Linked DNA regions of Macaca fascicularis. The protein of the gene in region 1 interacts with the protein of each later gene in a pairwise test. Links are inferred from orthologs where the notes say so. Each region holds a gene or a part of one and is shown on either strand. Other genes may lie near its edges.

Region 1 (8,111 bases):
GTCTGGTTCTCAGCTGAGAATCGGGCCTAAGCTTCAATATGCCAAGTACCCTGATTTCTCCTTTCCTTCCTATTTCTGAAACCAGGCTCTTAAGCAATTGAGAAAGTCACTTAAGATGGGAAAGTTTATTTTGGACTCAGATGATAATCTTTTCTCAGCATTTGTGTTTCCTTTCTGAAGCCTTTTGGGGTCACTAGCCTGGATCTCATGGAATCCTCCCTAGAGGGGCTGTTGACTGAGCTTGACCTGGATGGCAGAGAGGATCAAATTCAGCCATGTATGGGCCTGGGCTTTCTAGACGGCCCTCTTCTAAGTGGTAGTGACCCAAGGCTCCTCTTGTCATTGGGTATAACAACCACAGGAACCTAGGAACTCTTTCTTCTGTGTCTGCTCTGGCTTCCTTGCATCTACTAATTTCTAGCAGCCACATTTTATCCAGGCTTCTTGGCTTTTGTGCAAGAGAAGGTGACTTTGCATTTCCTGTCTAGCCACCTGCCATAGTGGAAAGAACCCTAGACATGGGGTTAGGGGCCCAGTTTGAACCCCAACAATTTTTATATACTATCGATTTGACCTAAACAGCCTCCATGTGCACTTCAAACTCTTTCCAAGACCGACATCCAAAGAGGCAATGTTTATTCATCCAGGATGCTTAATAGAATGATAATAACAGCATTGCGCATGTTTTTTCAGCACTCTGCTTTTAAGTGCATTGTCTCATGACAGTCTCATTATAGGTGAGAACACTGAAACACAGGGAAGGGAAGGAACTTGTTCAGGTCAGGGTTGAGTACCTTTGAATCCAGAATGTCTTGTTCCAAATTCAGTGCACTTTCCACTCTAGCAGGCTGTGTCTTGTCCAGTGAGTCCAGCTAGAAGGGGCTAGGATAAAGGTTGTGATGGCCAAAGCTTTGATAGTGTGACTCAGAATGCTGTGCACCCTTGCACTGGATGACTCCTGACCAGCCAATGATAATGATTTCCATATGGGTGTCTGTTTTGTCTTTCAGTCATGAGGCAGTGAAATCCATGTTTCATACCCAGATGAGGTGGGTCAGTCCTTTCAAGCATCCCTGCTCCTCTGACCCGTCTCCCTCACTTGCCTGGTTTGCTGGAGCCACCCATTCCCAAGACTCCTTGACTGCCATCTGTCCATAATGTCCTTCTGCATCCCAGTGTCTCGTCTTTGCTGAATGGTGTATTTTAATGCATTTAAATTAACCATTTTTTCCTTACCCACATACCACCTGCCTTGTCTTTGCTTTACTTTGCCTCCTTTCTTCCTCCCTTTCATGCCTCACTTCCACTGCTCTTCCAACCTTGAAGCATGAACCCTTGTAGTCCACATCGTCTTAGCAAAAGCCTATCTTGTCTCCCTAAACCCTGCTTACCATGAAATGGGGACTGTGACTGACCTACTAAAGGACTGTCTGTTTATAAGCCCCAACTTCTTACCCAGACTGGGCTCCAAAAAATAGCATCTATAACCGATATTTTTAATAAATGTTTATTCCCAGTATTCTGCTTACTGCTTCTGACCAACTACGAATGAGTAGTTTAGGTTAAATTTTACTTCTGACTTTTCTTGATGACAACCAAATGGCCCTAGATGGGTCTTTTCCTCAGGGTGGGGTTGACAGCCCTTGAAGTGGTCTTTGGATTAAGAACAAAATGCTGTGTGGGAGTTTGGGCTTTGGGAATGCTGGGGTAGAAGTGGTTGGTGCATTTGAGTCTGTGTTGCTGTGCACTGCACGTGACTTTGGATGATTCACATCATCTCTTGGGCTTGGGTTCCACATCTGTAGAGAAAGGTCAAGAGGAGAGTGCTCTAGGGACCTTCCTAGTTCTAAGTCTCTGTAGCTCTGGACTCTGTCCCTAACCTCTGTGAGAAATACATAAATAGGCTGCTTACTTGTGGCTCAATTAGCTGAACTATAGAATTGCAGATTGTTGGAGGTAGAAGGGGCCTGGGGTACAAGGTGGGGATGAAGCTTGTCCAAGGAAGCTGGTTGGAGGGAGAGCCAGGGCTAAAACCCTCATCTCCTGCCTCCTGCAGTGCTTATTTCAGGCTGGTCTCCATTCCTCTCCCCCAATCTCCAGTTTCAAGTAAGGTAAAATGAGGCATACATATATGCATCTTTTCATATTTAAGTCACATTAAGTTAATTTGGTTTTGAAAAATTTCTAATACCATTGGAATAATCGGAGATACCCTGAGACCATGCAAGAATTGGCACAATCATGATAGGAAGCAAAATTACTGGAAATTCTAGCCCAATTGGCCACTGATTCACTGTGGAATTAGAATATGTCACTATGGTGGGCTGCCTCTGTAAAAGGGACTCGTGGGGGCAGAACTGGTTACTTACCCAATAGGGTTAAATACTGGAGATCCTGGCTCAGGAGATGCTCACATGGAATTACTTAGGACATTAGTAGAGTCCTAAAAATCAAAGACTTTGATGCATCTTAATTCCCATGCATCGAAGACCCAGGAAGCAGCCTGAAAACAACCAGGCAAGGCTACTATGTTGAGGGTGAATGGTATGAAGTTCTAATCCTGGCTCTGTCCCCAAAGTGCTGTGGGACCTATCCCTCTTGTGTCACTATCCTCATTTGTGAAATGAGCATCCCTGCAGCTCAGACAAACTAGGATTCTAAGCAGAACTGTGAGCAGAATCACCCGGCCTTCCTCTCCTACTGGCCTTTCATCACTACAGTAACCGCTGCTGCCGAAAATTGGGGTAAGGAACAAAGGAAAGGAGTGACAAATGGTGAGCAGGCACTTCAGTTTTGCAGACTCCACAGGAGTTGTTTTTATACACATTAACACATTAATAGGTGTGTCAGTGTATCTCACTTTGGGAGAAGGATTTGTATCCATCAGTGGTCACCTCAGACGCCTGGACATGAACGTCACTACCATTCAGCAGTTGCTTCCTTGATTGTCATCTCAGAGCACAGGGAAGGGGCTGCCTTTGACTGGGACTCTTCTTGGGTGCTGGAGTCTTGCCCTTGCTTTTGCATGGTGTCTAACTGAGCCTTCCTGGGAGGTAAAAGAAATGACCATGGATCTCTGTGCAGGCACTCTCCCCAGCCCTCTGCATCCTGCCACTTGCTCTCTGGATGATGGCTTCCCACTAGGCAGGGAGGCCCCAGGATTCTGGGGAGGTACAGGAGCACGGTTTAGGACCCAGCTTGCAGGGCCCACCACTTGTTTTCTGTAGCTGTCTGGCCTTGTGGTGGAGGATGCATGGCTGAGAGATCCACAGGCTGACCTCTACCTGTTTGGCTCAGCTGGATGTCAGTTCTGCAGCAGGTTTTTACCTTCAACATCTTCAGTACCTATCTCATTAAGTAAGGTGGGTTGTGCTATAGGTAATTGAGGGTCAGGTCTAGGCTGGAAGGGAACTGAAATGCCATCTGCCCTTGCTAACGACCTTCAACCAACAAGCCACATCCCCCAATAAACACAAAAGTGAACAATGCAGTGAGCTAACAGAGCCAGCCTTTGTTTATTTGACTTCAATGATCTCCAGTGGGCTAAGTCTCGTTAGGTAATTTGGCCTGAACCATTGGACTGAAGGTCAAGAGGTGACTTCAAGTTAGACACCGAATGAGCCAAGGTTGTGGGTAACTGAATTTTTATGTTTCTGAGAGAGTAGTCCCCAAACTAACCAGAAAAGATTTTCAAGTTTTTTCTTGTTTGGAGTTTCTGCCTTATTATTTCTCCTTCTTTTATTACAGACAATCAGTAGCTAAAAGTAAAGGGAGACTTATGGGCATGGACATTCTGTCTGGTTTTATGACCAAGCCCAGCTCTCTACTAGGAGTCTATTTGAGCTGATTCCAGAGCAGTTAACTGAATGGAGTGGATCGGACTGTTCTAAGGAATAGAGTAGAACTATCCACAAAATCATCCTTTAGGTCACATTTCTCCTTTTGTGGAGTCAATGGGGGTTTCTGACTGCCAGTGAAAGTCATTGTCTTTGAGACCCAACTCCACAAAGCCTTGGAGGAGAGCATGGATCCCATTCCAGTAGGCCTGGATTCGAGTCACCTTTTCCTTTCGCCCTGCTCCAGAATTGAGCTCCGGGCCCTGGGCAAGATCTCAGAAGGAGAGGAGCTGACTGTGTCCTACATCGACTTCCTCAACGTCAGTGAAGAACGCAAGAGGCAGTTGAAGAAGCAGTACTACTTTGACTGCACATGTGAACACTGCCAGAAAAAACTGAAGGACGACCTCTTCCTGGGGGTGAAAGACAATCCCAAGGTACATGCAACCCTGCTGCTGAGGTATTTGTGTCCATATTCGCCAGGAGCCAGTCACAGTTGGTTTCACAGCTAATCAGTGTGCCTTGCCCATGAGCTTCCTAGGGAGCAGCTGTGACCCTGGGGAGGAGGCAGGGTATGAGAGCAGAGCACCGTGGGTAGGTCCCAGCTAAGTCCTGGCACTGCCACTTGCCAGGTGTTTGAGTTTGGGGAAGTCACCCAGTTTTCTCAACTGTAAAATAGGAATGATGGTCCCATTGCAAGAGGTTGTTATAAAGATTAAAGAAGATGATGTGTATAAAAGGAGTGGCATACGGAGTAGACACTGGAAATTTTGGTTCCTCCTGTTGCTCCTTTATGAGTTGAGGGATGTTGAGAATTTAAGGTGCTGAGATCAGATGGGCAAAGATATTTGTCATCTGGTTATGAAAAAGATATTCCTAGTCCCATGGGGATGGGCAGTGTGGAGACAGGGCTATGTTTAGATTGGTCAACATCCTGAACTCCTGGGTAACTGTTGCTAGTTGATGGTCAGTCTGTTGAGCAGCAGAAGAAGGCTTGCTGACGGGAGGTCAAGAGCCCAGCTGAGCTGGGAGAGAGCGCTGAGGCGCCAGGTGTCAGAGTAGCCAGTTAAAGCAACAGAGCAGAAATGAGTGTGAAGTATTTAATCACTTACTGCAATAGTGTTAAGCAAGAAGCCAAAACCGAAGAAAGCACTGACTCTTCTTGTCCATTTCCTCCAGGGAAGCTGTGCTCAGGGGGAGGATGAGGGGGATCAGCACAGTCATGGAGGCATCTCACATGGCATTCTCTTTTATAAGGACACCAGTCATATGGGGTTAGGAGCCCACTCTATTCCAGTATGATCTCACCTTAACTAATTACATCTGCAATGACCCTATTGCCAAGTAAGATCTCATTCTGAGGTAGCTTCTGGGGCTAGACTTCAACATATGAATTTTGGGAGGATACAATTTTACCCCTAACACTGTGTATGCTACCATTTATGAACATTAAAAGGCACACACACACATGCACACCCATGCCCATGCAAGCATACTCGGTCTCCATACAGAAGTAGGAGGACCAGTGATGCCTGGGGTGAAGATATTGAGAGTCACCCTTCGCAGGCAGAGACAAAGCAGTTGGGGCCCAAGGATTAATGTTTTCTATAGGAACAACCTCTTTTCAGAGAAGCAAAGGTCTGTATTCTAGGAGATTTATATTGGATGTATGTGAGAGGCACTGAGCACTACATCATGGGCGCTACAGAGAAGAATTTGTTATTGCACCCACCCTCACCCCGACCTTTCAGAACCTGCGGAAAGCATGTCTTATCTGTGAGCCAGCCAGCCTTCCTTCCTGGAGACAGGCACTGAGTATTTGTTTCATAACTTGCTTCCACACTACGTAATTATTATTATTATTATTATTATTATTATTATGAGGCCAGACCCTCTTTTCTCTGTTCTAAAATAAAACAACCATGTGGTCATTTCTTTAGACTTTTTGATGTTTACCTGGCAGTTTCAATCGTTCAGAAGGCTATGTGTGACCTTTAGTTCCCATCCCTTCACTTTAGATATGCTGTTACCAGCTGGTGACAATACACACACGTCTTCAGTATGAATTGCAGAGTTGGCATTTCTCTTGATATAACAGATTGATGATTTCAGCTTGAACCTACCTGAATTCAAGGCAAAAACTTTCTATTGTATTTTATATCAAATTGAGTTTCTCTATTAAAACAACTCAAAATAAAAATACCTATACTAACTGAGCAGGAAAAAATTGAGTATATCTTTTTAAAAGCAAATGCTTCCTCAGGCATTAAAAAAAGTCCATAATAATGTAGTAGGAAGAATACTGGAAGAAGAATTATGAGGCCTGTGTACTAGTACTGGCTATGACTCTAAACACCTGGGCTTGGCCAAGTCTCTTCCTTCTGGGCCTCAGTTTCCTCATCTGTAAAATGGGGAGTTGGACTAACTTATTAACCATTTCCTCAAGCTGGACTGTCTATGATGTCATCACAGTCATTTCCTTTCTTTTCTCTATAACGCTGTATCCCAGACTGATAAGCCTCCATCAGTACACCATCCTCAAACCTTCAAATGCCATCAAAATCTTTCCTAGCTCCTCAATATATGTTTATGTAAACCTACGTAGAAATAAAAACCAAATATTTTTAAAATGGGAAAATAATAGCAAAATTTATGACATTTTTACTCAGTTGTGTCTCTGGACTATCTTTGTTTAGGCTGCTTAGGTTTTCTTTTGTAATCATTCTTTTTTAAAATTTATTTTATTTTTATTTATTTTTGAGATGAGGTTTCACTCTGTCACCCAGGCTGGAGTGCAGTAGTGTGATCTCAGCTCACCGCAGCCTCGATTTTCTGGGCTCCAGAGATTCTCCTGCCTTAGGCTCCTGAGTAGCTGGGACCATGGGTGCGTGCCACCACTGCAGACTAATTTTTGTATTATTTGTAGAGACGGGGTTTCACCATGTTGCCCAGGCTGGTCTCAAATTCTTGGCCTCAAGTGATCCACCCGTCGCAGCCTCTTGAAGTGCCGGGATTACAGGCATGAGCCACAGTGCCTGGCGGGTTTTTCCGCTGTCTCTCTCCAGCCTTTACTCATGATTTTCAAATACGAATGTGCCAGGCCGGGCACGGTGGCTCACGCCTGCAATCCCAGAATTTTGGGAGGCCGAGGCAGGCAGATCACAAGGTCAGGAGTCTGATACCAGCCTGGACAATATGGTGAAACCCCATCTCTACTAAAAATACAAAAATTAGCCGAGCATGGTGGCCCACGCCTGTAATCCCAGCTACTCGGGAGGCTGAGGCAGAAGAATGGCTTGAACCCGGAAGGCGGAGGTTGCAGTAAGCTGCGATCGCACCACTGCATTCCAGCCTGGGTGACAGAGAAAGACTCCGTCTCAAATAAATAAATAAATATATAAATAAATAAATAAAATGAAAAAAATCAAATAGAAATGTGCCAATTTCTCCAGGCTTGGGAACCAACATCCTTCTTACCCCTTCTCCCTCCTTGGCTCCTTTTCCTCTGGCTCCTCCCCTTTCCTCTGGCTCCTCCCCGTTCATCTGGCTCCTCCCCTTTCCTATGGCTCCTCCCTTCTCCTCTGGCTCCTCCCCCAGCCCCTCAGATCGCCCAACCCTTGCTCCTTCTCCTCCGCCTCTGGGTCCTCCCTCCCTCTTCCTCCTTGTTTTCTGTAGAATCTGATGCTCCTGGAGACAGCAGCCTTTCACCACGGGGGTTCCTTAAATCCTGTGTGCAAATCAGAATGTTCTTGCCTTTATTGTGAAGAGTGGAGCCAAGTGGAACAACTCCGTTTCCTTTCTCACAATAGATTTATCACATGTTGCACTTACTAATTGACAACCATTCTGCTAGGTTGTTTTGGGGAATCTTGTAAGTTGCCTCTTTAAACAAAATTGACTCACTTCCAGAGCTTCAAGTGACACTCCTCCTTACATCATCAAACTGAGCAAGACTTTGATGAACACTTAACCACTTGGTATTCTCTTAATCTATCCTACGAGCTACTGATTACTCCAGAAGGTTCACTAAAAATTTTGAGATTTAAAGATAATAGAATTTACAGTAGATTAGATATCAGGGGTCATAAACTATACATGATTTTGTGAATCATACTTGGGTAATAAGCTATGGCTATAACTAGAAATGTGGGTTTGACAGATTAATGGCACACCTCTGGTCCATCAGTCACAGAACTCTGCACAACCAGGCAAGACATAGGCTTAATTCCAATAGGCTTAGGAAAGCAGTCACACACTGAAATGACTTCTTTGGGA
Region 2 (7,870 bases), on another chromosome or scaffold:
GGAGGATCACTTGAGGCTAGGAGTTTGAGACCAGCCTAGGCAACATAGTGAGACCCTGTCTACAAAAAATTTTAAGATTAGCCAGATATGGCTGCATATACCTGTAGTCCTAGCTACTTGGGAGGCTGAGGTGGGAGGATTGCTTGAGCCTAAGAGTTCAAAGCTGCAATGAGCCATGATCACGCCACCACACTCCAGCCTATGCAACAGAGTGAGACCCTGTCTCTTGAAAAAACAAAAACAAAAATGTACACACACACACAAACAAGTTGAAATTATTGCTCCTCTTGTTTTTGTGGTTGAGTCTTCACTGTGTGATTCTTGTTCCATGAATTTAGAAGGTGAGAGTTGGTGGATAGCTTCTAGAAGTGGGTTTGAATAGGAAAGATGAAGGCTGTATCAGAGCTATGATGGTGCCACTGCACTCCAGCCTGGGTGGCCTGGGTGACAGAGCAATATTATCTCTTAAAAAAAAAACAAAACCCCACCAGCTGGCTGTGGTGACTCATACCTGTAATCCTAGCACTTTGGGAGGCCAGAGGCAGGTGGATCACGAGGTCAGGAGTTCAAGACCAGCCTGGCCAAGATGGTGAAACCCCATCTCTACTAAAAATACAAAAAGTAGCCAGGCGTGGTGGTGGGCACCTGTAATCCCAGCTACTCGGAAGGCTGAGGCAGAGAATTGCTTGAACCCGGGAGTGGAGGTTGCAGTGAGCCAAGATCGTGCCACTGCACTCCAGCCTGGCAACAGAGCGAGACTCAGTCTCAAACACACACACACACACACACACACACAAACACACTAAAAAAAAACTGTATCAGGATCAGTTTTCCTTCTTAACCTCTAAAGACAGATTTTTTTTTTTTTTTTTTTTTTTTTTTTTGAGACGGAGTCTTACCCTGTGACCCAGGCTGGAGTGCAATGGCACTGATCTCGGCTTACTGCAACCTCCGCCTCCTGGATTCAGATGATTCTCCTGCCTCAGCCTCCTGAGTAGCTGGGATTACAGGCACTCACCGCCATGCCCAGCTAATTTTTGTATTTTTAGTAGAGACGGGGTTTCACCATGTTGGGCAGGATGGTCTCGATCTCCTGACCTTGTGATCCTCCCGCCTTGGCCTCCCAAAGTGCTGGGATTACAGGCATAAGCCACCGTACCCGGCCTTTTTTTGTTTGTTTTAGATAGGGTCTCACTCTATCACCCAGGCTGGAGTGCAGTGGTGCAAGCATAGCTCACTGCAGCCTCGACCTCCCAGGCTCAAGCAGTCCTCCTGCCTCAGCCTCCCAAGTTGTTGGGACTACAGGCACGAACCACCATGCCCAGCTGATTTTTAAATTTTTTGTAGTCTCACCATGTTGCCCAAGCTGGTATCAAACCCCTGGGCTCAAGCAATCCCTCTCACCTAGGCCTCCTGAAGTGCTGGGATTACAGGTATGAGCCACCATGACTGGCTTTAAAGACAGATTTTTTTCTTGGAACAACACTCACCAGTCATGTGACTTGGGGTAATTTAACATCTATGGACTTTAGTCCACAGAAAATCAGAATTAAAGCAGGGTCTGATGACTTGTTTATGAAAATTAAATAAGAAACTGTTGAAGCACTTAAAAAGCAATACAACATGATGCAAATAGAAACTTAATTGTTTTGGTGTCCAGCAGTTAGTTTGGTAGAAATTGAGCAATGTGTCAGAAGAGGAGACCCAGTGATTGAGCTGTTTCTTTTCTTATTACAGCTATCTCTGAAGGGCACAAATCAGAAAGCACCATGCCTCCTAATAAAGAGGCCAGCGGTCTCAGTAGTTCACCAGCGGGGCTCATCTGCCTCCCTCCAATCTCTGAGGAGCTACAGCTTGTGTGGACCCAAGCAGCCCAGACCAGTGAGCTAGACAGCAATGAACACCTGCTAAAAACCTTCAGCTACTTTCCCTATCCCAGCCTAGCAGACATTGCCCTTCTCTGCCTACGTTATGGGTTGCAGATGGAGAAAGTCAAGACTTGGTTTATGGCCCAGCGCCTCCGCTGTGGTATTAGCTGGTCATCTGAAGAAATAGAAGAAACTCGAGCCCGAGTAGTCTACCGTCGGGACCAACTCCATTTCAAATCCCTTCTCTCTTTTACTCATCATGCAGGACGGCCCCCAGAGGAGGTGCCTCCTCCTCCAATGCCAGCTCCAGAACAAGTTGGTATTGGAATAGGTCCTCCGTCTCTTAGCAAGCCCACCCAGACGAAAGGATTGAAGGTAGAGCCTGAGGAGTCCTCTCAGATGCCACCACTGCCACAGAGTCACCAGAAATTAAAGGAGTCCCTGATGACACCTGGCAGTGGAGCATTCCCCCACCAATCAGATTTTTGGCAACATCGTCAAAGCAGTGGCTTCTCAAAGGAGCAGGCAGGCAGGGGTCCCAACCAATCACATGGCATAGGAACTGCTTCCTGGAACCACTCCACAACTGTCCCCCCACCACAAGCTCGGGATAAACCCCCACCAATTGCATTAATTGCCAGTAGTTGTAAGGAGGAGTCAGCATCTAGTGTTACTCCCTCTTCTTCCTCTACCTCCTCTTCTTCTTTCCAGGTACTGGCTAATGGAGCTACTGCCACCTCTAAACCCCTCCAGCCATTAGGCTGTATCCCACAGTCAGTGTCACCCAGTGAACAGGCATTACCCCCACATCTGGAACCAGCCTGGCCCCAAGGGCTACGGCATAATTCAGTACCAGGTAGGGTTGGCCCCACAGAGTACCTTTCCCCAGATATGCAACGCCAGCGAAAGACCAAGCGCAAAACCAAAGAGCAGCTGGCTATCCTCAAATCCTTTTTTCTACAGTGCCAATGGGCACGGCGTGAGGATTACCAAAAGTTAGAACAGATCACTGGTTTACCTCGGCCTGAGATCATTCAGTGGTTTGGTGACACACGTTATGCCTTGAAGCATGGGCAACTAAAATGGTTTCGGGACAACGCAGTACCTGGTGCCCCTAGTTTCCAAGACCTAGCAATTCCTACACCACCACCATCAACCCGCTCCTTGAATGAAAGGGCTGAGACATCACCTCTGCCGATCCCTCCACCCCCACCGGATATACAACCCTTGGAGAGGTACTGGGCAGCCCACCAACAGCTACGGGAAACTGATATCCCTCAATTGAGTCAGGCATCAAGGCTTAGCACCCAGCAGGTACTGGATTGGTTTGACTCTCGATTACCTCAGCCAGCTGAGGTGGTAGTTTGTCTAGATGAAGAAGAGGAAGAGGAGGAGGAAGAACTGCTAGAAGGTGATGAGGAAGAAGAGGAGGAGGAGGAAGATGATGATGATGATGATGATGTGATCATACAAGACTGAGTGGGGAGCTGGGGGAGGGGAGGTCTGTTATGAAAAGATGAAACAACTTAGTAACTGTTTAAACAAAGAAACCACATTTTTAAAATTACCTTGTGGCAGAGAACTAAAAAGCTTTGTGTTCTTCAGGGTGGGTGGCAGGGGAATATAGTGAGGGTGGACCAGGGAGAATGACCATAGGGCACTAAGTAAGGCTGGGATTGGATGAGCAGAAATCCAGAGCTCTAACCTTAGTGTAGAGAGTGCTAAGGATCTGGGGAAACCATGGGCTGGCAAACTGCTCTTGCTCACCTCGTGTCTGCTGTTCTTTTCCCTTAGTGTACTATAGAGAGGCCAGACATTGGCTCCACCACTCCAGGAGGATTGGAAAGGAGGAGTAAAGGATTCTGATTTGATTGATGATTCCAGTGCATCCCCAATCCCACCATCTTACCTGGAATATAAGGCTGCCTTGCACCCCGTTTCTGAGCACAAGTCTGTGCATGATGCAACTGACTCTTACTTTTTTTCTTAATAACTGATCATTTCCTAGACAACCAAGATTCTCAGTAAGTCCCAATCTCATCACAAATATTAATATTTCCTTTTCCTCATACCAACTTGACTGTTTCACCTGTTTCATGACTAAATCACAGGTGGCAGAATATTTTTGGGTTTTTTTTTTTTTTTTTTTTTTTTTTGAGATGGAGTCTTGCTCTGTCACCCAGGCTGGAGTGCAGTGACGCAATCTCAGCTTACTGCAAGCTCTGCCTCCCGGGTTCATGCCATTCTCCTGCCTCAGCCTCCCAAGTAGCTGGCGGCCACCACCATGCCCGGCTAATTTTTTTACATTTTTAGTAGAGATGGGGTTTCACCGTGTTAGCCAGGATGGTCTTGATCTCCTGACCTCGTGATCTGCCCGCCTCAGTCTCCCAAAGTGCTGGGATTACAGGCGTGAGCCACTGTACCCCGCTATTTTCAGTTCTTATGCTGGGACCACTTTGCTTTGTAGTTTTTTCTGTCTTTCCAAAATCCTCACTCTGTTCACTGTTTGTCTCAGGGTAAATCTTCCCCCACCGAGCTTGTGAAAAACTTTAATAATTGGGTAGAGAATAATTTAGAATGGATATTTATTGGAGGTGGTAATTAGGGAAGATGTCGTTTTAAAAAGTAGAACTGTGTTACAAAGGGGTGAAAGAGGGAATAGTTTCCCCTTGTTGAAGGACAGTGGAGGTAGGTTCCAGGTTTGGTTTTACAAACCTGATAACTACCTCCTGTCCAACTTGACAGAGACTAAATTTTCATCTTTTTGCTGTCAATTTGTTTCTGAAAAAGAGACTTTTTCCCTCTCTTTATAGGATCTGTCTTAGGGACAGAGGGACCATCGTCTTTAAGTGAATTAATTATTGATGTTTTAGAATGGTTTTCATCAGTTGGGATCAGCTATATGGCAAATAGGTATCATCAATGAGTTAACCATCTAAAAATAAAAGAGTGGAAGCCCTAGAATGCTAGAACAATAATAAAAAGGCCAAAAATAAAATTGTTTCTCTCTCATCCACTTTGCCACTCCTATGGTTTAGGGATTAATGGAACCAAATCCATTAACATTCTAACTCAGCATACTTTTAATTTATTGTTTTGAAGGGCAGGACTTATTGAGGTAAATTAAAAGAAGAATAAAAACTTTAAAAGGAAGTAGTTCAGCATCTGTCACCAGCCAGGTTGTTTCTCAGCCATCAAATGATAATGACTGAAATTTCTGAGGCTTCAGGAGTAACAGAGATACAACAATCTTGGAGGTAACTCCATTTGCTACAGGACAGGCTCTTGCCTAAAAGAGAAGGTGTCTAGAAATGCCTTTAAAATAAATTCAGAGTACCAGAAAGGGTATAGGGCTCCTAATTCAGATACAAGGTCATTCCCAAGAGCTAATTTATTTCTGGCAGATGCCTGCTATTTTCTGTTTTCCCAGTATTTTTGCTTAAGGCCAACTTGTGAGTGGCTAACCTATTTAATTCCTCATTTCTGCCTTTTAGTACCCAAAGTAGAATACATGTTTGATCTCAGTGGTAGTGTTGTTTGCCCATTCCACCATTCTAGAACTTGTAATAGTGATAGAATTGTAGCAATAAAAGGGTGTCGTCTTAATTTTACTATCTATATACTAAACTGAAAATCAGTGTCTCCAACAGTTGTTTTCAATAGAAAGGAAAATTAGCATTTAATAGTAACTAAGCATAGAGGAAACAATAGGCAAATAGAAAATGTATAATAAGGACAAAGAACAGAGATGTTACTTGTTAACATTGGCAATGTGACAGTATATCCATAGCTAAAAATGAAATCCAGAAATGAAACAGTGATGAGTATATGATCCATCACAATCCCCATTCCCAACTCCCAACCAAGCATGATGCCAATAATTATTTTTATGACCTTTGTTTCAAATTGTAGGAAATGAGGGGAGCTACCAAGGTCTTCTGGAAGAGCTATAAACATCTTCCTGAAGCACTAGCCTTTTGTAAGACCTGACCACTGTCCTGGGAGGTGATAAGGGTGAATAGGGTAAAGATGGAGGGAGCATAAGGTATAGAGTGAAACTAGGAAACAATGTAGGGATAAATTTTCCAGGGCCATCACCCCTAATGGGTACTGGAGGCTACAGTCCATCCTTCAGCAGTATGTATAGATCAGACCTTGAAGATGATCTATCTGGAAGTGGTCCATGCTTCTCTCCCACTGGGTAATCCCATCTGCCTCTGTTGTTGGTAGAGAGTCTGCAGCAGAGGACAAAAAGGTAGATGTGGGTGTTTATAACAACAAAAAGGGCAAGAAAGTCTCTCTGAACTCATTGTATGAAGCTTATCGAGACAGACACCACTGCTTTTGCTTCCCCATAGTTTTCTTCATTGCATGATAACTAGTTTTTCCAAACTAGGATTTACTACATCTAATGTGACAGTCTCTGGAACATTTCAGTGGCTATGGTGATAATAATAAGGATGAATATTTGAAAATTATTTTGGAAAATCTGGGACATATGACTACCACACCCAGAGATGACTACCAGGGAGGCAGAGTACTTAGGCCTCTGAGGAGGTGGCATTTCCTTCAATAACTTTAAAATTTTTTCACATTTTCAAACAATACATAGAATAGTATAATGAACTCATGTGCCCATTGTCCATCTTTAACAAATAATTCGTGGCCAATCTTTTATTTCTACTCTCCCACTGTCCCTCCCTACTAAATTAGGGATGCAAACCCCAGACATCATTTGACTTTTCATCCATAAATAGTATGTATCTATAAAAGTGAATGGCTATTTTTAAAAACATAACTACAATATCATCATACCAAAAACTCTCCAATATTAACAATTATTTAATATCAAATGTCCAATAGATAATTTTGTTAAACTGTCTCATGAATTGTTTTTTTTATTTTTTATTTTTTTTTCTACAGCTTGTTTCAGTCAAGATCCAGTTAGGGGCCAAATATTTGTAGATGGTTTATTGAGCTTTTAAGTATTTTTTCCTCTGTAGGTTAATCCCTCCATTTGTGAGTATCTTAGGGAGGACTGTTATTTCCCCAGTGTTGCCTCTTAAGGCTTAGACCCTAATTTCTTTTTTTTTTTTTTTTTTTGAGACGGAGTCTTGCTCTGTAGCCCGGGCTGGAGTGCAGTGGCCGGATCTCAGCTCACTGCAAGCTCCGCCTCCCGGGTTTGCGCCATTCTCCTGCCTCAGCCTCCTGAGTAGCTGGGACTACAGGCGCCCGCCACCTCGCCCGGCTAGTTTTTTGTATTTTTAGTAGAGACGGGGTTTCACCGTGTTAGCCAGGATGGTCTCGATCTCCTGACCTCGTGATCCGCCCGTCTCGGCCTCCCAAAGTGCTGGGATTACAGGCTTGAGCCACCGCGCCCGGCCTAGACCCTAATTTCTTACTGATGAAAATAAAAGGGCATCTTGGAATATGGGAGCAAAATATATACCTACCTTAGTATGAAGGAACTGTCCCTGGGGACACCAGGAGCTTGGAGTGAAAAAAGGGCCTAAATATGCTCAAAATCCAAGCCATTAAAAAAAAAAAAAAAAAAAGGCAAGACTGGACTTTTATTTTTTTATTTTTATTTATTTATTTATTTTTGAGATGGAGTCTCGCTCTGTTTACCCAGGCACTGGAGTGCAGTGGCATGATCTCAGCTCACTGCAACCTCCGCCCCCCAGGTTCAAGCAGTTCTCCTGTCTCAGCCTCTCTTGTAGCTGAGATTACAGGTGCCTGCCACCGCACCCAGCTAATTTTTGTATTTTCAGTAGAGATGGGGTTTTACCATATTGGTCAGGCTGGTCTCTAACTCCTGACCTCAGGTTATCCACCCGCCTCGGCCTCCCAAAGTGCTGAGATTACTGGCGTGAGCCACCGCCCCCGGTGACTTTTCATTTAACAGAACTCTTTACAAACCTTTCCTTGTTACCATGCCCTTTTCTTTTTGTTACTGGAATCGGAATCATAGTCCCATAAATTTATAAAATATTACTCTAGCT
Region 3 (8,111 bases), on another chromosome or scaffold:
ATTAGATCCTTCTAATTTAATTCTCTGCTCTGATAATTTCCTTGATTATTTATTATCTGTGTCTCACCCACTGAATGTAGACTCCACTGAATGATTGCATTCTTCCTCAGAGAAGGTCCAGGACAATCTTAAAAACTGTATTTGTTGAAAACTTGAAAGATTCAAGGGACTCAAATTAGGTTTATTTTTCTCGAATAGCTAAACCTGGTAGGGGAGGTTATCAACCGGAATCATTTGTGGATTAATGAAAGCATAAACAAACAGCAGTGTGCCTAGACTCCTTAATTTCAAGTATTAATCAGGTTGTTTGTTCTGTGTTAGATACTGTTCTGCATGGTAGTAATATAGAGATAAGATATGCAGCCCCTTGCCTCAAGGAGCTCAGTCAGTTTTGGAGGAAGTATAAGGATTGAAGATAGACAAACAGATTACCATAAGTGATCTGCAGAGCTCTGTTGCCCTGCATAGGAGGATGCCTACCGCAACCACTGAAAAATCAAAGACGGCTTCCCTGAGGAGCATGTGGCTTCCTAGCTACATTTCGTAAAATGAGTAGGCATTTGGTATAGGATGTGTTTGGGGAGTATGACAACAAATGAGGCTAGAAAGGTACAGAGAGCTCAGATCATGAGGAATCGTGTATGCCTTGCAAAGGGGTTTGATTTTATTCTGAAGATAACAGCCATTGCAGAATTTTAGACAGGGGACTGATTTGATCAGATCGCTATGATACAGTGAGAGGGATGGATTAGAGGAGTGTGGAGCTAAATGGAGAGAGTTATTAACTCAGGCTTGTATTAATGAAGGCCTAAATTTAAGAAGTGGTTAGAAGGAAAGAATTGGCGAGATTAAGGACATCAAAGGTAAAATAGTTGATGATATGTTCTGTGGTTGTATGTCATTCTGGGCTGGGTGCGGTGGCTCATGCCCGTGATCCCAGCACTTTGGGAGGCCAAGGCAGGCAGATCACCTGAGGTCAGGAGTTCGAGACCAGCCTGGTCAATATGGTGAGACCCCATCTCTACTAAAATACAAAAATTAGTCGGGCGTGGTGGCAGGTGCCTGTCATCCCAGCTACTTGGGAAACTGAGGCTGGAGAATCACTTGAACCTGGGAGGCGGAGGTTTCAGTGAGCCGAGATCACGCCACTGTACTCCAATCCAGCCTGGGTGGCAGAGCGAGACTCCATCTCAAAAAAAAGACAAAAGGCATTCTGGACAGTAACATTGTTTTTCATATTGTTAGTGAAACTTGAAATCTAACAGTTAAACTGTTTGAAAAAGTCTTTAAGTGTTTTATCTTTTTTCATTTAAAATTGACCTGTAGCAGTGTTTATTCAGTTTAAAAATCAGAGCCTGGTTGCCTTCTTTGGTCTGTTTTTTTTAGATTGGAAAATGTTCAGTATCCCTACCAACTCTACATTGCTCCTTCTACCAGCAGTACAGAACGACCAAGTCCAAATGGTCCCGACAGACCTTTTCAGTGTCCAACCTGCGGGGTGCGTTTCACCCGTATTCAGAACCTAAAGCAGCACATGCTCATCCACTCAGGTAATGTCACCTTCCCTGTTGTTGCATAAGTGAACACTCTAAAAATAAACATTTTATTTTGGAATCCCAGTTAAAATAGAAAACAGGGGTTTCTGAGTTTAAAAAAAAACTCTGAGAAGTCAAATGAAAACAGATTAGCTAAGGTTTATTGCCAAAATGGTGCAGTGTCAGAAAGCTGTTTGCCATCAGTGTTAAGTATTCTGATTAAAAGAACATAAGGTGATATGGATTTAGTACTTTGTAAATAAAAGACATATTAGGTGTGCACATAGAGGTGAGATAGATAAGCACAACCACAGATGGTAAAGCAAATAGGGTTAAAAGGGTCTGTATGGGTGTTCTTTGTGCTGTTCTTCTTATAACATCTCTGTAAGTTTGAAATTATTCCCAAATAAAAGTGTGTTTAAAAATGTAATATTTTCTTGCAATTTACTTTCAGTTTTACAGTCCTAAATCTCTGTGTGCCCTGATGAGTCAGCTTTGTAGTTTGTACTTTTTTAAAACATAAGAGATATTTTGGATAAATGTATAGAAGGGATTTGAAACTTTAGTTCAGTAATCACATGAAGGCAACAGGATTCTTGTGGGTAAAACACTGACCTCTGATGAGTAAGAGATCTCTGCTGCTGTTTCAGCTGCGAGAGTTACTAGCTCACTTTCCCCTTCTGTAGATAGGTCTTACAGTCCCTGTCCTAGCACCAGCTCTCTGTGACTTTGTTCAGTCAGCAGATTGTGTTTTGAAAGGTTTTAAAATTTTTTCCCCAAAACACTGTGATAATGCATTTGAGGAGACTATTAGTACACTTTATAACTCATTTATTTCTATCAGTATTACCCAAAAACCCCATTTTATCAAATGATGGTTCTGTCATGCTCATTGCATTCAGAGATGTTAAAATTGTTCTTTCTTCTTCTCATTTCTCTGTGAGATAGGGAACAGAGAGTAGGTACTGATGATTTTCACATCTTTTCAATATAAGCCTTTCTAATGAAATGAAATAATACATGGTGTTACATGGGGATTTGGGTTCTATCTACATACTGTAGTTAAATTGTGTTTTGAAGTTAGTAAAATAGATGATTTAGAAAAGTATTCAAAAATCAACTTCAGTAGACATTACCTAGTTTGCCTCCCCTACTGCCTTTTTCTTTTCCTTTTTAAGCACTTGTGACTTTTCACATATTCTTTTTTTTTTTTTTTTTTTTTTTTTTTTTTTTTTTTTTTTTTTTTTTTTTAGACGGAGTCTGGCTCTGTCGCCCAGGCTGGAGTGCAGTGGCTGGATCTCAGCTCACTGCAAGCTCCGCCTCCCGGGTTCACGCCATTCTCCTGCCTCAGCCTCCCGAGTAGCTGGGACTACAGGCACCCGCCACCTCGCCCAGCTAGTTTTTTGTATTTTTTTTTAGTAGAGACGAGATTTCACCGTGTTAGCCAGGATGGTCTGGATCTCCTGACCTCATGATCCGCCCGTCTCGGCCTCTCAAAGTGCCGGGATTACAGGCTTGAGCCACGGCGCCCGGCCATGACTTTTCACATATTCTGCACATGTTCTGAGATACTGAATTAGAGTATGTTTTTACTGGTAATTTTTGTCTTTTCAGATGATCTATTGCTACAGAAATATAGTTCAGAAATTTGTAGGGTTTATGACTTTTCAGTTTATTTTTGTTTTTAGATATTTTGTTTTGCTTTATTTATAGGAATTAAACCATTTCAGTGTGACCGCTGTGGGAAAAAGTTCACCAGGGCTTACTCGCTAAAGATGCATCGCCTAAAGCATGAAGGTAAACGCTGTTTCCGGTGCCAGATATGTAGTGCCACTTTCACTTCCTTCGGGGAATATAAACACCACATGAGGGTTTCCCGGCACATTATCCGCAAGCCTCGGATTTACGAGTGCAAAACATGTGGCGCCATGTTCACCAACTCTGGAAATTTAATCGTGCACCTGAGGAGTCTGAACCATGAAGCATCAGAGCTAGCAAACTACTTCCAGAGCAGGTGAGGTGCACAACAAAAACCCAACCAGGAAAACTGCTTTCTAAACTCTCTTTTCCTGCTTTTAGGGCAGCCTTCTGTGTTTTTACATTAGGTTGCCAGCTAGTCAGTCCCTGATCTGATAAAATTTTGCTGAGTCTTCTAAGCATATAAAATTATAAACATTTTATAGTTGGTATTAAAAATATCTTCCTGCACAAGTGGACTACTTGTCCTCTTGAGATATTTTTTAAATAATAGAAGGTTTAAGTAATTCCGTATGGACCTTAAATAGATCTTATCGGAAATTTTTTTTTTTTTTTGAGGTGGGGTTTCGCCCTGTCTCCCAGGCTGGAGTGCAGTGGCGCGATCTCAGCTCACTGCAAGCTCCGCCTCCCAGGTTCATGCCATTCTGCTGCCTCAGCCTCCCAAGTAGCTGGGACTACAGGCGCCCGCCACCATGCCTGGCTAATTTTTTGTATTTTTAGTGGAGACGGGGTTTCACCGTGTTAGCCGGGATAGTCTCGATCTCCTGACCTTGTGATTCGCCTGCCTTGACCTCCCAGAGTGCTGGGATTACAGGCGTGAGCCACTGCGCCTGGCCTTATTGGAAATTTTACCATGTCAGATGATACTTAGTGGTAGTGGATTACTTCAGACTCTGGATGTTAATAAAATTCTTGACCACTTCTCTCTATTTAAAAAAATTTTATATAAAGGAATATCCATTGGCCAGTAAGAAAAATTTTCAGTAGCAGCTATAATGGGTGTGATGGTTTAGATCATGAAGTCATTCCTATTTTCATTCAGTTTAGAGCTCTATTATTTTAATATTAATATATAATAGAATTACCTTTCTGATTTGTAGGGCATCCAAGGAAATAGGTTCTAGTTCTAGCTCTGCCACTAACTGCTGTTGATTAAACGTGTCACTTTACAGATGAAAAAGCTTGTAACTTAGAGAAAGATAAAATGTAAGCTTTAAATGATGGTTTCTAAGGCCTCCTCTAGATATAAAACTGTTGTTTTAAATTGTTTATAAGAATTGTACTTCTGCAGGAATCCTTAGTTTCTAATTAAATGAAATTTTTACAAATTTTTTTTTTTTTTTTTTTTTTTTTTTGGAGACAGAGTCTTACTCTGTCACCCAGGCTGGAATGCAGTGGCACAATTTTGACTTACTGCAACCTCAGCCTCCTGAGTAGGTGGGATTACAGGTGCCCACCATTACACTCAGCTAATATTTGTAGTTTTAGTAGAGATGGGGTTTCATCATGTTGGCCAGTCTGATCTTGAACCCCTGACCTGAAGTGATCTGCCTGCCTTGGCCTCCCAAAGTGCTGTGGGATTACAGGCGTGAGCCACCATGCCCAGCCCAAATCTTTACATTTTAAGTCACCTTTATTTTTAAAACCTTTTTATTTTTTAATTGAATAGATGGGGTCTTGCAGTGTTGCCCAGGCTGAAGTGCAGTGGCTATTCATAGACACAATCATAGCGCACTACAGTCTCAAACCCCTGGGGTCAAGCAATTTTCCTGCTGGGACTACAAGTGTGGGCCACCATGCCTGACTTAAAACCTTATTTTTAAACAAATTCCAAATTATTCCTGCATAGATTTTATTTTTCCCCTCAACCAGACATTCATTTTGTTTAATGCAGTCATCTCTAATTCCGAATGTGTGGTTGCCATATCACTAAACCTTAGATTATACATATCATATTAAACACAGTTTGTTCAGGACTAAAATAGTGTTCCTGTTAACTACTCATGTTATCTTTATCTTCCCTGTGCAGAGCCCTGCATTCTCCACTCTTCTTCTCTAACACCTGAAGACTTTTTAGAAAACACAACATAGGGCATTCTAAATTGCTTTGCAGATGAGCAGATTTTAATTTTTTATTAATACTGAACAGTAAAATTATAACTTTATCAAGTCTAATTACATATATTATTGACAATTCTGGTATAATGAAATTTTTAGTTCAGTAATAAAGATCTAAATAAAGCCTCTAAGATAAGACTTATTTCACATACTTAGTTTCAATTACCAAAAAATGCTTATAAGTTGAAAATTTAGGAAATACAGAAAAGTATAAAGAAATTTAAAATGTTTTCTGATCTCAACACTTAAGGAAATTAGCCACTGTTTTAGTATATTTTACAGTCCGTGTTTCCTGTGGGGACCAATAATTACTTTTTGAAGATTAACAACCAATCTCAAGGCATTCATTTCCACATTCTGATTCAAAGATAATTTATTAGTATTTTCATATACCAAATGTAATAGCAGGATACACATAAATTACTTTGTACATTTCCCAACTTTATAGTAGATTTTGTATCAGATCATTTATGCATAAGGACTTAGTTTCTTAACTAAGCCATGTCAAGTTTAGTAACACAAAGCTAGGTTTATATATCTCTTACTCAATGTATAATCAAGAAAAGTTAAGCATTACTCAGATGATCTTTGTTTAAGTGAGCATGCTACATTTGTTTTGTATATAGAAACTCCTCTGCATAGAACAAGAAAGGCTGTTAAGGTGTCCAAAGTTATAATGAAAGTGATAACCTGATGTATTGGTGGTAGGGAAGATTGATACATTTTGGTTTTAATGGATGTTTTGGTTCATGTTTAGCAAAGTTTGTAAGTGGAAAGTTCCTGAGTTTTAATCTTCACCGAACAATTAGTGAAATGAAAAGTCCCAATTTTGTTGTATAAATCAGAGCTTTTTATTGTTGCTTATCTATTACTGGCTTGAAAATTAATTCCATATTTCGTCCTTTGCCTCTTATCTAGTGATTTCCTAGTACCGGACTACTTAAACCAGGAACAAGAAGAGACCCTTGTTCAATATGATCTTGGAGAACACGGTTTTGAAAGCAACTCCTCTGTTCAAATGCCTGTAATTTCACAGGTCTCCTCAACCCAGAATTGTGAAAGCACTTTTCCCTTGGGGTCTCTTGGTGGGCTGGCAGAAAAAGAGGAAGAAGTGCCAGAGCAGCCAAAGACCAGTGCTTGTGCTGAGGCAACCAGAGATGACCCCCCAAAATCAGAGCTGTCTTCTATAACTATTGAGTAATTTTGTGATTTGGCTTCAGTTTTGTTTTTTGGAAAGTGCCTGTGCTTGGTCTTGTACATTTAAATTTAATTTAATTTTTTAAACAAAAAAAGCCGGGTGGGAGGGAGGGAGAGATTGGGAAAGCATTTCCCTTTTCACTTGCTGAGCCCTGAAACTGATTTTATTTTTCATAACTGAGAGATTGCTTCTGTAAGTACACAATAACATGATGTTGAAACAGAAACTATGAGACTTAAGGAGATCTGGTTGACTTAAAACTTATACCAGTTTCTTCTTCCATTGTTAAAAGTAGGCTAACAACAGACCATTAGCTAGAGAGGAAATCTGATGATTATTGACCTTCCTGAGTTGAGAGGGTACATGAGAAACTAATTACTAAACAGCTTGTCAAATGGCCTGAGTAGATACTTAACGGCTGTACACAGGACATTGTATAATATTTTGTAAAGCCCGTTGTTTTTGGAAGTATTTATGGTAAGCTTTCTTAAAAATTATTAGGGTAAATACTTCTGAAATCCGGCACACTTTTTTTATTTTAAGCTTTGTCATTTCTGTTGTGATTTTTCATGGTGAAAGTTTGGTACTGAGATGGGCATTCTCTGTACCTTTATAGTACCACTCCAAAGGCAAAGAACCATGATTGACAACAGTCAAGCTGTGGATGAAATGACCAGGAACGGAGAATGAAGTATGTAAATCTCAGCTTCGTAGGAATTCTTCTTATATTGCTTTTCTGATTAAAATTGCTGTTTACCTGGTCTCTGAATGTTAATGCCTGACCATGTCATTGCCCGAATCAGTTTTCCCCTTGCCCGGTCAGTATGGTCTCTTGCATATATTGGCGTGCTGCCATATAAAGTAAAAATATTGGAGATATTCTATATTTTATGTATAGGTTTATGTATTGTTGGGGATGTTTTCATTGTGCTCTTTTGGACATAATGAAGAATTCTCGGTTGAGGCTACATCTTTTTTTTTTTATTTTTTTTTATTTAAGAGGATGGCATCTGTTGCCCAGGCCGCAGTATAGTGGCTAAGTCATAGCTCACTGCAGCTTCGAACTCCTGGGCTCAGGCCATTCTGTCTCAGCTTCTTGAGTATCTAGGATCATAGGCATGCTCCACCACACCTGGCTGACTTCGTTTTTATTTTTTGTGGAGATGAGGTTTCACTATGGTGCCCAGGCTGGTCTTGAACTCCTCGGCCAAGTGATTCTCCTCCTCTGGCCTCCCAAACTGCCGGGATCACTGCACCAGCCAAGGCTACATTCTTAACCCAACTAGATGGTTTACTGAATCCCATACGACAGCGATACGTTGTCCCTACATATTTTTAGACATTGCAAAGTTATTAAAAAACAGTTACTATCGTTTTTACACAATGTAGACAACAATGTAAAAGATGAATATAGACTGTAAGATTTTCATCTATGACTCATAAATCTGGGAGAAAAAAGAAAATTGTTAAGACTAATGAGAAACTGAAAACCTTAAACTAAT

The links.
Region 2: the proteins of SMYD1 (region 1) and HOMEZ interact in binary tests that used the Homo sapiens proteins (3 or more experiments, as listed by UniProt). The link is inferred for Macaca fascicularis from reciprocal best matches to the Homo sapiens genes SMYD1 and HOMEZ.
Region 3: the proteins of SMYD1 (region 1) and ZBTB44 interact in binary tests that used the Homo sapiens proteins (3 or more experiments, as listed by UniProt). The link is inferred for Macaca fascicularis from reciprocal best matches to the Homo sapiens genes SMYD1 and ZBTB44.

The regions. Positions count from the first base shown.
Region 1 is NC_088387.1:22,908,933-22,917,043, reverse strand, and holds part of SMYD1 (histone-lysine N-methyltransferase SMYD1), read left to right. Parts: intron 1-1,010; coding exon 1,011-1,049; intron 1,050-4,083; coding exon 4,084-4,273; intron 4,274-8,111. UniProt on the Homo sapiens protein: Methylates histone H3 at 'Lys-4' (H3K4me), seems able to perform both mono-, di-, and trimethylation. Acts as a transcriptional repressor. Essential for cardiomyocyte differentiation and cardiac morphogenesis.
Region 2 is NC_088381.1:91,041,642-91,049,511, reverse strand, and holds the end of HOMEZ (homeobox and leucine zipper protein Homez), read left to right. Parts: intron 1-1,737; coding exon 1,738-3,347; 3' UTR 3,348-4,866; downstream 4,867-7,870. Other genes in the region: E3 ubiquitin-protein ligase RNF212B, read right to left, coding at 6,023-6,103. UniProt on the Homo sapiens protein: May function as a transcriptional regulator.
Region 3 is NC_088388.1:128,682,008-128,690,118, reverse strand, and holds part of ZBTB44 (zinc finger and BTB domain-containing protein 44), read left to right. Parts: intron 1-1,386; coding exon 1,387-1,550; intron 1,551-3,248; coding exon 3,249-3,549; intron 3,550-6,329; coding exon 6,330-6,608; coding exon of another isoform or gene 6,609-6,612; exon of another isoform or gene 6,613-6,620; intron 6,621-7,225; coding exon 7,226-7,256; coding exon of another isoform or gene 7,257-7,299; 3' UTR 7,300-7,300; exon of another isoform or gene 7,301-8,111. UniProt on the Homo sapiens protein: May be involved in transcriptional regulation.